2 linked regions of the Schizosaccharomyces pombe genome follow. The main gene of each other region encodes a partner of the protein of the gene in region 2 in a complex. Each region holds a gene or a part of one and is shown on either strand. Other genes may lie near its edges.

Region 1 (3,913 bases), on a different chromosome or scaffold from region 2:
ATAAATGAAAAATCATCTGGTCTACGAACAGATACATAATCAGATGAATCAAAAAGTTCAGAGCTACCTTCGGATATAACAAATGAGGTACTTAAATCGTTTGCAAGTGCTGCTTCGCCTAATAGTTTAGTAATCCAATGAACATTTCTACGATGATTTTCCGCATCAGCATCGTCCTCTTTTTTAGTTAAAATTAATCTAATTTGTTTCAAAACGTCTTGGGGTATCATTGCATTTGCTGGCATTACCGGGCAAACGCTAAAAACATCTCCTCCTCGGGTCAGAATATAAATTGTAAATACCCCCCACCCTTGAGAAACATTGCTAAAGCAAAAAGCGGTCGGTATATGCAAATCTACATCGGCATCAAATGAATTGGAAGCCTGATGCGTCAATTTAAGAGGAATCTCATAATCGGGCATTAACACTCCATTTCCAGCCTCATAAAGCAAGAGTGAAGTTTCAGTTAATACAACCAAAGATCTTCCGGACTTCCCCAGTGGGTGAAATCGAACGGAGACAATTTGAGAAGAAGGATTAATAACTGCAACCGAACAAATGGTAACCTCCGATAATTTTAATGAGTTAGTCCCGTTTTCCTGGTGTTCTGAATTTGAAAAATTGTTAACAGATTCACCAAAGTTTGAAACGGACTCTGCAAGTGGATTTTGTTCAGATAACTTTGATCTCAAACCCAGTATAACAATTTTTGATTTTCCTACCACTGCTAGAAATCGGCCATTTTTACTAAGGCAAATCTGTTCAATCATAAAGTCTAATTCTGGATTAAAAAGTTTTTTGTAAAAATTCTTATGAGATGCTTCATTTTTATGTTTTAAGAGTCGACAATCCAAGCTTCTGACTTCTTGCCCCACAGCAACGTACAGAAACGACTCAAACGCGCAAAGATGCTTGGGAAAAATTTCCCAATCCTCAGGAATAGGTTTAATCCATCGTAGGGCAGGATGCTTTTCCAAAATGTCTGTCCATGATACCTCTTGAGACATGATGGTTGATGCCATTTTGTTAGTCTTCTGCGAGTATTAAATAAGGAGGAAGAATGCGTCGCTAAATAAATGTAAAAAGTAATACATGTGTACTTTGAATATTAGAATATACCATAATTATTTGTACCTAGCTTGTTATAGGTAAATTAAAAGAACCAGATCTTTGGAGCCTTTTCCTCTTTCTAGCGAAATGCAGCATATGGTGTAATAGTGCTTGAATGCTACTTCTTTTAAAAACATTTAAATGATTTTAGTTTGCGAATAACAGGTATACAAATTCTATACATCAATTACATTATAAGCATTAAGTTTCCTAATATTTAACAGTTTTACTTCATTTAAGATAAAGCAATAAGTTAGCTAGCATAGTTCATTCAAAAAAGCGATTTCCTTAATTCAAATTCTCTTAAAGAACAAATGTAATTTTAAAACCAATTATTATAAGGGTTGGAATTAGCTACATTTACACGATGATTTTTTTACTTTGTAAATGCATAGTACACTATAAAGTTAGACTTCAACCTACAACCACTGCCTAGGAAAAATGGCATCAATAACAAGGTTAGATGCTGTTTCTCCGTATCTCATACGGAGGTTTAAAAACGATTTACGTGCTTTAGATGCTGTGAAACAAAGTAACTGTGTTTATGTTGGCAACCTTTCATTCTATACCACCGAGGAGCAAATTTATGCTTTATTTTCCAAATGTGGTGAGATTCGACGAATTATCATGGGCGTAGATAGATTTACAAAGGTAAGTTTTCATAAAATTCTGTTTATTTGCTCTTCAAGTTCATTACTTTCAAAGTTGTCTTGGAATGCAATCATAGATGCCCGACTTGTACTAATCAAATATTACCAGACACCATGTGGGTTTTGTTTTGTTGAATATTTTGAAAATCAAGATGCTTTAGATAGCTTAAAATACATTTCAAGAACATCATTGGATGAAAGAATTATTCGTGCAGATTTGGATCATGGTTACGAAGAAGGTCGTCAATATGGCAGAGGTGCATCCGGAGGCCAAGTCAGAGATGAAATGCGGGAAGAATTTGATCCTGGACGTGGTGGTATGTAGTCGGATTCTAAAAGAAGCGATATTTAATCAATACAGTCTCTGCAAACTTAATAACATACTAACTTGACTTTAGGATATGCAAAAAATAGGCAACCAACCAGCTCTAGACAGCTTGCAAACTATTCTGGAATTTCTTCTGCTCCTTTAGGATCTTCTCTAGAACTTCAAAGTAATCCAAGATACAATCGTTGGAAAAAAAATTAAAAAGTTAGTTATATAATTCGGACTTTAACGAGGTATTGGAAGATTCACAGGCACTTCTTACTATTTATTCCGGAATTTTTAGAGTTGGTCCATTTTAAAATGCTTTACAAAGAAATCTGTAAGACCAGCTTGCGATATATTTTTTTGGCATAAGACTTATTTCATTATACAAACCAATATTCAAGTTACAAATGATTTAATTAAACTATGCAGTATCTATTTTTTACCGGGATATATTAGTTTAATCATATCTTCATTCGACCTGAATTTTTCACTGAGAGACTCATGCCTAAGACCTCTTTCAATTTCTGCATTTCGAATTACCTTCCAATCTTTCCAGTGAATTACAGGTGTTTTAATGTTCTTTTTTAAGCCATCCCATCCTAGCTTACTATTTTTGAGAAATTCCTTTTTGGATTTCCAATCCTTAGTTATTGTATCCGCTGTAGCAAATGCATCCATCATGGTCGTAGCAATGACTCCAATTGGCCCATGTTTCACCCATCCACTAGTGTAAATGCCAGGACGAACAAATCCGTTAACATTTTTTACAATTCCTTTTGCATCGTCGAATGGAACGCCAACGTCTTTCATTCCAGGCAAGGGCATACTTTTATACCCTATACTTCGGATAAACAACTGTGCGGGTATGGTTGTAAATTTTGACTCAGCATCTGTTCTTATGCTATCTGTAATCTGAAAGCGAACATTTTCAACATTTCCCTTATGTCCTAGAATCTCAACAGGTGTTAAGCCAAATTCCAAATTCCAACATTTCTTGTCTTTTGAATAAGGGGCTACTCGTTTCTCTGAAACAGCTTTCTGGATTTCGGAAACTAATAGCTTTAACAATCTCTTTCTAGGTCTATCCAAACCGCTTGCATCTGTTTCATTCATCCACTTTGTAGAATAATTAAAGGAAGGAGCAAAGAAAACTGCACTTGATAGGGCAAACAGTTCTCTCAATTCTTTGATAGTAAACGAGACAGAAAATATGTTTCTTCTTCCTACAATGTGTAATCTTTTTAAATTGCTTCTTTCAAGTGATTTGAGGAACAATGGATTAATGTCAGTTGGGGATAATTGAGCAGGATTACTTAAAAGGATTCGAGCTACATCAAGTGAAACATTACCATGTCCAATAACTACTGCATCCTCTACCTGACTTAAATCCAACTCAAGATTTTGATTTCTGGGATCACTGTTATACCAACCCACCACTTCTCGCGCACTATAAACACCTGACAAGTCCTCCCCTGGAATTCCCAGTCTCTTGTCCCCAGCAGCTCCATAGGCAAGGACCAAACAATCATAATTTTTAGTCAAATCCCGTAAAGAAACATCAGTCCCAACGTTTACGTTACCAAGGAAGCGAAATTGTGTAGACTCAGCAATTTCGGAAAACTTGTGTTCTACATGCTACAATAGAGGTTAGCTGTATAATAAATTTAATAAGATCCATTTTTAAACCAATCAATATTTCTTGGCTTAACAGACTTACCTTAACTTCTGGATGATCTGGGGCAACTCCATAACGTACAAGCCCAAATGGAACTGGGCGGGATTCAAACATATCTATTTTGACATTTGGGTCATTTCGTAAGAGTCTGTGGGCTGTGTAAAA
Region 2 (4,197 bases):
CATATACAGCTGTACAGCTGTTTTCAGTAGATTATTTGGAATCAAAATATAATTACAACTCAATGAACTGGTTGCAGTAATTTTAATTAAGGCATGTGTAAATAATATGTAAACTATCTGAAGAATGTGAATCTGGCATTTCAAAAATTTAAAAATCCGTTTGTTTATGCGAACTTGACTTTATAGATTAGGAGGAGTATTTTGTAATTTTTTTCCTTTTTTACAATCGTTTGGTATTCATGAAAGAATCGTATATCTCGCCATAGCAATTTATGAAAGGCATTCTGAATGGCAAAAACTGTTGAATATTGAACCGTTTTGTTATTATTATTATTGCTATTTATTTTATTCTCAAAATGGTAAAAAAATAAGAGAGATTGAAGGAAATACTGGTGAGGATAACGTAATGTTTAGAAGCGTTACAGCAAGATGATTGTGTTTCAAGTCAACTTTCCAACTTCAAATATGAGCGCTACAAGTAGAGAAGGAAATAAGACAAAGATAGGAATAGTAGGAGGTAATTTTGGAGAACAACAGTTTCATAAATGATGAGTGAGCATGCTGACGATGATTTTTAGGTGGCATTATTGGAATTTGTACGGCGTTTTACTTAACAGAAGAACAAGAATACAAAAAAGGAGAATTGGACATATTTATATTTGAATCAAAAGAAATAGCAGGAGGTAGCTCCGGCATTGATTCTGCAATCTTGACAAAACTGTGCCAGAATGAAATCATACAGCCACTTTCAACTCTCGCTTTGAAGCTTTATGAAGGATTGGATAAAAAATTTGATGGGAAGAAAAACTGGGAATATAGGACTGCCAATTCTTGGTTTTGTAAGATGAAATGGGACAATACCAATGTTGCCAAAGTTCCCGATACTTTGCAATGGCTTCAACGAGAGCGCATGCAAAAATGTAAGCTCATAAGTGCTACCAAAAAAAAATAATAACTTTATTGTATAAGTCATATAGAGACTAACCATTTAGGTTCTAGTATCGGTTCCGGCAACGATTTTGCAATGATCAATCCAAAATTGTTTTGTCAATTTATGGCAAAAGAAATAGAAAAACGAGGAGTAAAGTTTATATTTGGAAGTGTGAAAGAGGTTAGTAAACACCATATTACATACGTTCCAAAACAAGAAGCTGAAGATACAATAATAAAAGCACAGGTGCATAAAACGCTGGTGAGTGCTGGGCCTTGGACTGGTTATCTATTACCATTTACTGGTATTGCAGGTCTATGCATTCCCATAATTCACCTATCGGTAGGAAATTTTCCCGTTGGCGACAGCATTGTTGTGTGTTGTTTAAATACCATGGGTAATCTAAACATTTGCAAAACAACCGAAATTTTCAGTAAAAACCGGGAGCAGCTTATTTTTATGGGAACTCCAAAATTCCATTTGCTGCCAAAAGATAGTAATCGATGTTTTTTTAATCCTTTTGAAATTATCGAATTGAAAGAAATGACCGATTTGGTGCTCTCGGAGAATACGAAGAGTAACTACTTAGACGCATCTTTTAAGTTCCTTCCTACCAGTAGAATAACAGGTATCCCGATAATATCAACAACCAAGTCTGGTGTATTTGTTGCAGCGGGTCACGCCAACTGGGGGATAACTCAAGCTCCTGCCACGGGTTTATGTATGGCAGAAATGCTCCTTGGCAAGGAAAAAACAAGCATAAACACAGATCCTTTTCACTTAAATCTCGGTGAATGAGGATTTCAAATTATATCCTCTAATTTTTGTTTTAATTGTTTGTCAAAAAAAACGAAGGACTCATTCACTGAAAGGTGAAAATATAGAAGCAGAATGGATGCTTATTCCTTTACCGAAATAGAATATTACAGTGTTGTAAAATTTTCTAATCATATTTATTAAGGTTTTCGTTTTTATCGCATTGGAAAATCGATTTTCTTTTTTTTTGTTTTACAATTTCCATCTCGACTTAGTATACCATTCGTTACCTCTAAGTTGATTGTTACTTGAGAACACTTGCTCGTGTTTTTACAATTCTGCTATACGCCAACAACAGTAAGACACTAACATTCCTCACAAAATGTCTTCTTATCGGGGATCAACTCGACCCAGAAAGAGGACGAGAGAGGGAGAGAATTATGGATTTCGTCCCCATAGAGGAAACTCTCAAGAGCTACTTGCAGCGCGTATAAAAAAGGATATTACCTTTTTGGCGGATCCTCGAGGAAATTCAGTAGCTGCTGATGACATTAATTATGTTGCTATGTCTCTTAGTCGTGAAGCTAATGATCCTGAAACCATTTCAACTATCTTAGATTGCATTCAGACAACGTAAGTGATAATTTATACTGTCCCTTCAGAAAACTAATTTAATCCTTAGTGCATTTATCATTCCAGTCAAAATACCTCATTTGGCTACATTAATTATAAGAGCCTCATTAAGGGTTCCTTTAATCTTAGAAAAAGCAGCTGCGTATTTTTGTTTACAGTATTTTACGAATTTAAACTCCTTTCTTTATTACGAGGCTAAAGTCGATCTACGAATGCTCATTTGCATGTCATTTGCACTTCAACCAGGTACCCTTAAGCCACTATTTTCATTACTGGCTGACGCTATCTCAAAAGAAACCAAACCCAGTGTCTGGGGAGATAATTTCCTGCGCATAATTTTGATAAACCTTCCATATTTCATCGCAGCTAACAACGATCTCGGTAAAAAGGATTTTGCTAATGAGATACTGGATCAATGTGAGATTTACGTTCGTCATAGGAAATCTTCGATAACTCTAAGTAATCCCCTTTCAATACATGACAATCTTTCAGAGGAGGAATTGGACTTACTCTATAAACAACTAATTCTATCTCGGGAAAACGACTTTACTTTTCCTTATATATCTCAACCCTGGAAGTTTTTTGAATCTGATTTCGTTCATATTGTTCCGGTTAGCCCAAGTATTCCTGAATGGACGTTTCAGCCCACTCCTCAGCAAAATGAGCTACCTTCCTTCAAGAGATTTTTTGAGCTTTTTAATAACTTTGAAATTCGCACGACTCCTGACGCTTCCGACGTTGCAGCCAGCATATTTCGTGATATAAGTGTGGATGTTATAAACCATTTGGAATTTAACCGAGTTGAGGCTGCTCAAGTTCTTACAGATTTAGATGTTTATTTTACCTACAAAACTTTTGCTCTTCGTGGTACTCCAGTAAATGAATTACCAAATTTAGATCCATCGGAATCACGTTGGAAAGCAGAAGATATCATAGTTGAAGCTGTTTTGGGTGAGCTTCTTGGTTCACAGAATACTACGTATAAACCTGTCTATTATCATTCGCTTTTGATTGAATGCTGCCGTATCGCTCCTAAAATTTTGGCTCCAACTTTTGGAAGGGTCATTCGGCTAATGTATACCATGTCTTCTGATTTACCTTTACAAACACTTGATCGATTTATTGACTGGTTTTCACATCACCTTAGTAATTTCAACTTTCACTGGAAGTGGAATGAGTGGATTCCTGACGTTGAGCTGGACGATCTTCATCCAAAAAAAGTTTTTATGCGGGAAACTATTACTAGGGAACTTATTTTAAGCTATTACACAAGAATTTCTGACTCACTCCCTGAAGAGTTACGTTGTTTGCTTGGCGAACAACCGTCGGGTCCCAATTTCGTGTACGAAAATGAGACTCATCCGCTATATCAACAGTCAAGTCAAATTATCGAAGCATTGAGATTACATAAACCGTTAGAAGAACTTGACATTATTTTGCAGAGCGAGGAGATTCAAAACTCCGAGACATCTGCTGTCCGATTAGTTATGTCTTGTGCTTATAGCTTGGGTTCGAGATCGTTTTCGCACGCATTGAACGTGTTCGAGAAACATCTTAATACATTGAAACATTTTTCTCGAAAATCATTAGATTCCGAAATAGAGGTTGTTGATGAACTTTTTTCATTTTGGAAATTACAACCGTTCAACGCAGTTATGTGGCTAGATAAAATGCTGAACTACTCTATAATTAGTATTACCTCTATTATTGAGTGGTTGATCAAGCAAGACGTGACTATATGGTCTCGTAGTTATACGTGGTCACTTGTTAACACCACTTTTAATAAATTAGCAGCTAGATTGCGGCGTTCGGTTTCTAACAAAGAAGACTCTTCGCTAATCAATGAAGCGAATGAGGAAAAGGAAATTGTCACGAAT

The links. Proteins that work in one complex are often made in the same cells at the same time.
Region 1: cbc1 (region 2) and cbc2 share a complex: the UniProt entries of both Schizosaccharomyces pombe proteins name them as parts of the nuclear cap-binding complex.

The regions. Positions count from the first base shown.
Region 1 is NC_003423.3:3,397,712-3,401,624, reverse strand, and holds cbc2 (nuclear cap-binding complex large subunit), read left to right. Parts: upstream 1-1,526; 5' UTR 1,527-1,551; coding exon 1,552-1,761; exon of another isoform or gene 1,762-1,869; coding exon 1,870-2,077; exon of another isoform or gene 2,078-2,158; coding exon 2,159-2,289; 3' UTR 2,290-2,505; coding exon of another isoform or gene 2,506-3,708; 3' UTR 3,709-3,731; downstream 3,732-3,913. Other genes in the region: nucleoporin, WD repeat Nup82, read right to left, coding at 1-1,007; mitochondrial [2Fe-2S] cluster assembly NADPH-ferredoxin reductase Arh1, read right to left, coding at 2,506-3,708, 3,791-3,913. UniProt on the Schizosaccharomyces pombe protein: Component of the CBC complex, which binds co-transcriptionally to the 5' cap of pre-mRNAs and is involved in maturation, export and degradation of nuclear mRNAs.
Region 2 is NC_003424.3:3,226,464-3,230,660, forward strand, and holds the start of cbc1 (nuclear cap-binding complex large subunit), read left to right. Parts: upstream 1-2,046; 5' UTR 2,047-2,069; coding exon 2,070-2,320; exon of another isoform or gene 2,321-2,369; coding exon 2,370-4,197. Other genes in the region: tda3 (FAD-dependent amino acid oxidase), read left to right, coding at 466-517, 579-920, 993-1,729. UniProt on the Schizosaccharomyces pombe protein: Component of the CBC complex, which binds cotranscriptionally to the 5'-cap of pre-mRNAs and is involved in maturation, export and degradation of nuclear mRNAs.